2 linked regions of the Caenorhabditis elegans genome follow. The protein of the gene in region 1 interacts with the protein of each later gene in a pairwise test. Each region holds a gene or a part of one and is shown on either strand. Other genes may lie near its edges.

Region 1 (3,927 bases):
ATAACTGCTGCGACACGGACAACCTCGTGAAATTTTATATTTCAGAAAATTTGAATTTGTTCAAAATTTTGAAAAAAAAACCTCGCTACAAAACTTTTTGGAAATTTTTGAGAAGTGAAAATCGGCTGCTTGAGGTCATTTTGGGAATATCAAAATCTAAATTGATCGGTTTTTTCTCTTTTAACTCAAAAATGTCTGAAAAACAAACCGATTCGATTCTTGACAAGTTTCCCAGTGTAGGCTCGTCGTCGTCGGATGAATTCAAATAGCAGGTTATCTAAAAATAACGACTTAAAAAATGTTTTTCTATAATTGAAAAAAAAACAATTTACCGAATTTTTCTCATCTTTCGGGGAAGCATGTTCACCAGGTTGGACACACCGATTACACGGGCAAGACGTAGTTTCAGCTATTGCAGAACTTTCTGGAAATTTTTTTAAAATCAGATTTTTTCAAAATGATTTGGCACTCACTTATATGGAACGAACATTTCGGATCAACTCCTCCAATTGCAGTAAGACCACATGCATTGCAGACATCGAACATTTTTTGAGAACGATCCAGTATAATATCTGGACTTTGAATTTGTAAGCCACGAAAAAATATTTTTAAAACTTACGATCAAAGCAAAATTTGCTAAGATGAAGCGCCGGCTTGTTACATTGCTTTTCAGAGTCGATTGGTTCAAAATTGTCAATTTTATCCAAAATAGAGTGCATTGTGTGTACAATAACTAAAGAATCATCCATATCTGGTCCAACACAACATTGATGGAATACTGGATCAATTGTCTAAAAAAATATCAATAGAATAATGAAACATTTTCAGAATTCATTACCGTCAATGTCAGATAGTCATTCCTTGAGTATTTTGTGGATGCTTTGAAAATTCTTCGCTGGGCCATATCTGTTGGATAATCTGAAAAACGCAATAAATTTCATCGAAAATGCCTATTAAATTGAATTACCTTCTTCTTCATCATTTCCTAACAATTCATGCTCTTTTTGTGCTTGACTTGTGACCAATTCTTTAAATTCAATTAAATCGTCAATATCCTTTTGTACTAAATCCATCTTGATATTCAATATATCTTTGTCAGTATAGTATTCAGCGTATCTGAAATTTCGAATTTATTTTTCTAATTCCCAAGAAAAATAATTAATAAGAATACCTTAACGAATTATTATCCAATATATCATCATTTGCCACATCTGGAAGACGCTGAGGAACTGTTTGAGCAGCTTGGAGGTAGTCGTCATCGTCTCTGGAAATTGTTATTTTCAATTTCAAAAAAAAAACTTTACTTACGAAATATACTCATTTGATGCAATCCACGGATCAAAACGACGTCTTTGCATCTTTGAATCATTTTCCGCATGGCACCGCATCACTTCTTTCTTATGATTATTTTCTAACGTTTTTGAAAATTCGACGTGCTCTTCACAACGGCCGCCATGTTTCGCAAGTTCTTCTTTTGATCGTATCTAAAATTTTAAATTTGAAAAAAAGCTTACTATCAAATTTTCGTATTTTTTCTCACCTGCTTACACCGAACAAGCGTTCGATACGAAGCATAATTACATTGTCCATACTTATTTTTGTCGTATTCATTGGCAACAAGACGGAATCGTGTTCCAGGTGCAACTATATATTGAGCAGGAGGACGAGTTGTTTGTTTCATGCTGCTTAAAAATAAAAATGGAAAATTGAGTCAAAAAGTTGAGATAAAACAAATTAAAACAATTTTCTGAAAAATAAACAACTGAAATTTGAAGTAATAAACAACACGCGAAAACGTTATTTCGGAGCATCGTTTGAGAAGTAAAACTTTTTTTCGGCGCACCCTTGTGCGCAGTTTTTATCTTCTCTTTTAATTTAATTTTCAAGCTAAATCTTTCTTTTTAAACTTTGAATAAATATTTAAATATTCAGAATGCACCAATAAACCTGGAACAAAATCGATAATGTTCCGCAAGCTTGGTTCTTCTGGGTCACTATGGAAGCCGAAAAATCCGCATTCTTTGGAATACCTCAAATATTTACAAGGAGTGCTCACAAAAAATGAGAAAGTTACGGAAAACAATAAGAAAATATTAGTAGAAGCATTACGAGCTATCGCAGAAATTCTCATTTGGGGCGATCAGAATGATGCTTCGGTTTTTGAGTGAGTTTTTTTCCAATGTTTTTTTTCAAATCTGATGTTGAATTTCAGTTTCTTCCTTGAGCGGCAAATGCTTCTTTATTTCTTGAAAATTATGGAACAAGGAAACACACCACTAAATGTACAATTACTGCAGACTTTGAACATTTTATTCGAAAATATTCGACATGAAACTTCACTTTGTAAGTTTTTTATATGGATTTTCGCTTAAAATTGCCAGTTTTCAGATTTCCTTCTAAGTAACAATCATGTAAACTCGATTATTTCCCACAAATTCGATTTACAAAATGATGAGATCATGGCTTACTACATTAGTTTTCTGAAAACTCTTTCATTTAAACTGAATCCAGCTACAATCCACTTCTTCTTCAATGAAACGACTGAAGAATTTCCATTGTTGGTAGAAGTTTTGAAGCTTTATAATTGGAATGAATCAATGGTTCGAATTGCTGTTAGAAATATTCTTTTAAATATTGTGAGAGTTCAAGATGATTCAATGATTATTTTCGCTATCAAGCATACAAAAGTTAGTAGAAAATTATTTTGAAAAGGTGTATTTAAGCAATAAATATTACAGGAATATCTATCGGAGTTAATAGATTCTCTAGTTGGTCTCTCACTTGAAATGGACACATTTGTACGATCTGCTGAGAATGTGTTAGCTAATCGAGAGAGATTACGAGGAAAAGTGGATGATTTAATTGATTTGATTCATTATATTGGTGAACTATTGGATGTGGAAGCTGTCGCCGAAAGTTTATCAATTTTAGGTCAGTTTTACTGCTGGAAAATCAAGTTTTTAATGTTAAATTTTCAGTAACAACACGATACTTAAGCCCTCTATTACTTTCAAGTATATCACCAAGAAGAGATAATCATTCACTTCTACTCACTCCGATTTCTGCGTTATTTTTTTTCTCTGAATTTTTATTGGTGAGTTTTAACATTTAAAATTACATTTTTCTAATTTATTTATTTTTCAGATAGTTCGTCACCATGAAACAATATATACATTTTTATCATCTTTCCTATTTGACACTCAGAATACTTTGACGACCCATTGGATACGTCATAATGAGAAATATTGCTTAGAACCGATTACATTATCATCACCAACCGGAGAATATGTGAATGAAGACCAGTAAGAGCTGAAATTTTAAAATTTTTGCTTTGAATATAGTATTTTCAGCGTATTTTTCGATTTTCTACTGGAAGCATTTGATTCCAGTCAAGCAGACGATTCGAAGGCATTCTATGGATTAATGCTGATTTATTCAATGTTTCAGAATAATGGTGAGTTTTAAAAAATTGATTTGTTAAATTAAAATTTCCATTTCCAATAACTCCTCTTCAGACAGTAAGTTTTCAATGTTGTAAAGTTCCTGTTCATCTGTGATCGTTTTCTTCATTTTTTTAGTTTTGCATGAACAGTTTTCAAATTTTTTTGATATCATACAGTAAATATCGTCATCCAGATAATTTTCTATTTAAAAAAAATGAATAAAAAGAGGGCGCGCAGAAATTGCCGAAGTAATGTAAATTTAAAGGGACACATGCGTAGCTTGTTGTGTGGGTCTCGCCGCGCTTTGTTTGATTTATCTTGTTTTCTGCTCAAAGAGCTGTTTTTATTTTAGCGTTGAATGCTTTTTTACCGTTCTCATCGGCTTTTTAATAGGAATATTTAAAAAAAAAGGTTTAATAAATCTTCGTTTTTACAAAATCCATCTAAGATTTGCATTTGTGAAGCTCAACAAGTAAAGTTTTAA
Region 2 (3,927 bases), on another chromosome or scaffold:
AGCGCTCAAATGATGCTCAACGTGGATTCCCAAATGAAATGTGCGGACTTCGATCTCGATCAAATCACCAAGTCACTTAACACAATGCAATCGACAGTTTTGAAGACGAAAACCGAGACCCCGCTGGAGAAAACTGAGCTTATTATGAAGAAGCAGCTGCAGAAGCTGATGGATCTCTCCACTCAACACGGTACTAATTTTAGAGTTTTTAATCAAATTATTAAATGTCAATTTTTATTTTACAGATGCTACTCGTGATAAGCTGAACAAGCTGAAGGATGACCACAATCTGAAAACGAACAACTCGTCGAAGGCCTAGATTCTTACTTTTTATTTATATATTCATTTTTTCTTTAAATTGAAACTCTAATTCTTTAAACCTATACACTTTCACCTGTTTTCTTCATGATCACCACCATCACACTATTTATTTTTTTTGTTATTGTCTGTTTTGTTGTGTGTTTGGTTGAGTTTGTGAATGAACTTGTTTTTAAAAAATATTGATTATATTTTGGTTTTTTTTTTCAAGTGTTTTTTAAAATTACACTGATATATTTTATATTTTCTTGTTTGGAAAATATTTACTTGTGTATTTTAACTCTACATTTTAAAATTAAATTTTAAATATAATTAATTGTTTTATTTCTTCATTTTTTTTTTTTTTTTGGCTTGGAAAATTTTATTTAACTAAAAAAATTAACATTTTAATATGTGGCCCAAGTTATACCCAAGTATTTACCTCTTGCTCTTTAAATTTCAACGAATTTCGTTGAATTTCCCCCATTTGCGGGGGTCACTATTGTTATCAAAAGATCCTTATCATAGTTTTTGATGCTCTAGAAATTTCTAATTGCTTTTCCTTGTGATTTTGAAAACGTTTACAGTGATGTTTCTCTTTTTTGATTTCATCAATTTATCTTGCATCCCTAGGAGCTCCTAGTCAAATGTTAGTATTTTGTGATTTTTGAAAGTACGGTAGCTGCGAGATCGATCGTTTCGAGACTGGAAACCCTACTTTTCATCAAATATCGTAAGATTCCTCGAAGGAGTAACCACCTGTATTGAAAATCGAGGGTGTCAGGTTTTCAATTTTTTGCTAAAATCGAAAAACTAAACTTTTCTTAGAAATAAGTTTTTTAATTCACCAATTTTTGTTTTTGATGTTGATGAAAAAATATATTTACGAAAACAATTTTTAATTTTCTTTTCAAAAAATAATAAAAATAGCCAAAATTTAAAAAAATTTTTTTGATTTTTAGTGGAAATTCAAAAACCGACACCCTTGATGTAAAATTTCCCAACATTGAAAAAGAGTGATATCATTTTTTCCAAATTAGTATTCGTCAAAGTGCAAAAATGCTCTCCGTCTCTTCTCAACGTTGTGTCGTCAATAGTGCTGCTCATTCGCAATTGTTGCTCTCAGAGAGCAGAAGTGGAGGATTATTCGTACACCTGAAGAGACTATATTCCCGCATTCTTTCCTCTTCGTCTTCTTCTTCTTCTTAACCGAAAAATTCGTCAAGCTTTCGCCTTGCTCATTATGCAAAATCTGTTTGCCCCGAGGTCCGGCTAAATGAAGGATCCGAGTGTGTTTTCGTTGAAGATGTCTTTCTTCTTTTCTGTTTTCTCTCTTTTTTTTCTTCTCCAGCTCCACGTAATTGGTGACTCGAGTAGAACTCTATAGCCATTCAGTCTTCTCCAACATCGTCTAACAAAGCCTCTCTTTCAGCTTCTATCTTCTCTCTCTCTCTCTAGTTGACGTCTTCTACGTCTCTCTCTCTCGTTTCAATCTCACTAACCCCCTATTCACGTGAATTCAGCGTCGTCGTCGTCGTCGTCTTCTCTACCCGTGATTCTCGTGACTTCACATAAGCACAATGTCTGCGCCTCCGCTATACGGGTATGATGATAGTCCAATAAGGAAGAGAAGCTCTCTATTGCAGAGTTGAATCTTTTGGGCTAAGTTTATTAATATGGCCATGCACCAGCTTTTTTTTCACATTCACTTCTCTTGTTAAGAAAATTTGAGTAAAATTCGAGTAAAATTACGACTTTTGTAGAATCTGCTATTTTAATTCCAGTGGCCTAGATTTTAAGCATATAATTTGAAGTTTTTAAAACTTTTTACCGATTTTTACTTTTAAAGTTAAAAAAAAAATTATTGATATAATAGTAGGTCCTAAATTATTACGATGTATGCTAGGTCTACTAGCTCTTCTGAAATGAATTTCCACAAATTTATTCGATCATTCCAGTGAATTGGAACTTCCCTCTCAATTGAGACTACAATAATTTGAACATCGTTAGTTATGCGATCAATTAAAGGGCGAAAGGATAACGCATACACTTTCGTTTGCCCGATGTAGATAACAGAAAAGCCATTAGTTGAGAGGCGTCAGTTTCATTATAAACTTCGTAATTCACTTCTGTTTCATAGGCAGTTGCAATGAAGTGATCGTACTTTAGATTTTTTTTTTCTAATTGAAATAATTTCTCCAAAAGCCCATGACCGGAAATCAATTTTTGAAATTTTCATCTGTCGCACACTCTCTTTTGCCAATTCTGTTTGGCTATATATATATGTGTGTGTGTGGTTTTGTGCATGGCTACGAGGGGCTCGACCCAATTAAACAGCACGAAAGGGAAAAGGAGTCCCTCTCTTTTTCGCTCAGCTTTCTCTTATTCCCGATTCTAGAGAGCCGCGCCCCCGACATTTGACATGGAAGAAGAAGAAGAAAAAGAAGAAGAAACATATGAGATCTCACGAGCGCACATCTTCTGAAATGAATTCCAATTGCACCTTCTTATTCGTGTTTCCTGCCAGCAGACTACTTTATTTCTTTTTTTTCTGATCTATGTGTCTTAGAATCTGAAAAAAATTTTTGTCCATATCTGGGCGAGACCCATGGAAATTAATGTAATGTGCCTTTAAAGGAACATGAAAAAGAAAATCCGAAAAAAAATTGAATTTGCAAAAAAAGATATCTCCAAGAAGCCTATTGCTCATTTATTTTATTTTGGCAAAATTGAAAAAAAAAAACATTAACATTTTTTTTTAAATTTTCAAGCAGTTATATTCGGTCATTTAAACTAAAAAATTGTGGCTCTACTCCACCTTGAAATAACCACAATAGTAAGTACAGTAGTTTCATTAAAATAATTTACATTTTTTGGCAGCAAAAAAAGTCTGCTCCCAAATAAAACCCAGACCCGCCGTTCATCACTTGTGTTATTCTTTTCTCGAAAAAAAACGACTCGATCCATTCGTTTTCAGGATATGCTTCTGTGTGTGTATGTGTGCAAAACGAAGAAGCACGTCATCCGAAATAAATAGTCACACATCTCTTTGCTCCCATTTTCCCTCTCTTTCTCTGGTTCTCTCTATCTCTCTTCATCTCTCTTGTTATAGACGCAGAGATAACCCTCCGCTCACAACCACGCTCACGAGACACTCACCACGCGCTCACTCTCTTCGATTTTTTGGCTGTGTTGGTGGTGGCGGTGGCAAGAGAGAGAGAGTGAAAAAATGTGAAAAAAAGGCATGGGTTCCTTGGAATATATATGTTTGGAAGAGGTTATATTGACTTTAACTAACTTTTTTTGCTCAAAAATTTTGCTCTTTTCTGCTATTTTCGCCAATTTTATTTGCTTCAAAAATGTTTTCTAACATGCTGGCCGAACTTTTCCCTATTTCTTATCCATCTTCATCATATGATTCGACCTCATTTCGTAACTTCCTTCACTACGCTCCTCAGTCATGAGGAAGTATTGATTGGTCTGCCTCGTCCACACCACGTCATCAATTTTCCAAAGTTTATGTTTTTTCAGTGTGTGTGTGTTCTCTTCTTCTATTACTTCTACCACCTTTCTCTCTCTTTTTTCACTTTTTTGAGCATTTTCCGATCAATCAATAATCGATTAATCAAT

What was found.
Region 2: the proteins of gop-1 (region 1) and unc-108 interact in a two-hybrid assay, tested with the Caenorhabditis elegans proteins (one study listed by BioGRID).

Annotation. Positions count from the first base shown.
Region 1 is NC_003281.10:5,252,506-5,256,432, forward strand, and holds the start of gop-1 (Protein CLEC16A homolog), read left to right. Parts: upstream 1-1,932; 5' UTR 1,933-1,964; coding exon 1,965-2,164; intron 2,165-2,212; coding exon 2,213-2,343; intron 2,344-2,388; coding exon 2,389-2,687; intron 2,688-2,738; coding exon 2,739-2,931; intron 2,932-2,978; coding exon 2,979-3,094; intron 3,095-3,144; coding exon 3,145-3,302; intron 3,303-3,350; coding exon 3,351-3,454; intron 3,455-3,927. Other genes in the region: Protein sumv-1, read right to left, coding at 209-277, 333-424, 474-572, 620-791, 839-918, 968-1,116, 1,172-1,264, 1,309-1,484 and 1 more. UniProt on the Caenorhabditis elegans protein: Regulator of mitophagy.
Region 2 is NC_003279.8:3,821,006-3,824,932, forward strand, and holds the start of unc-108 (Ras-related protein Rab-2), read left to right. Parts: upstream 1-1,877; coding exon 1,878-1,900; intron 1,901-3,927. Other genes in the region: npp-11 (Nsp1_C domain-containing protein), read left to right, coding at 3-190, 246-319.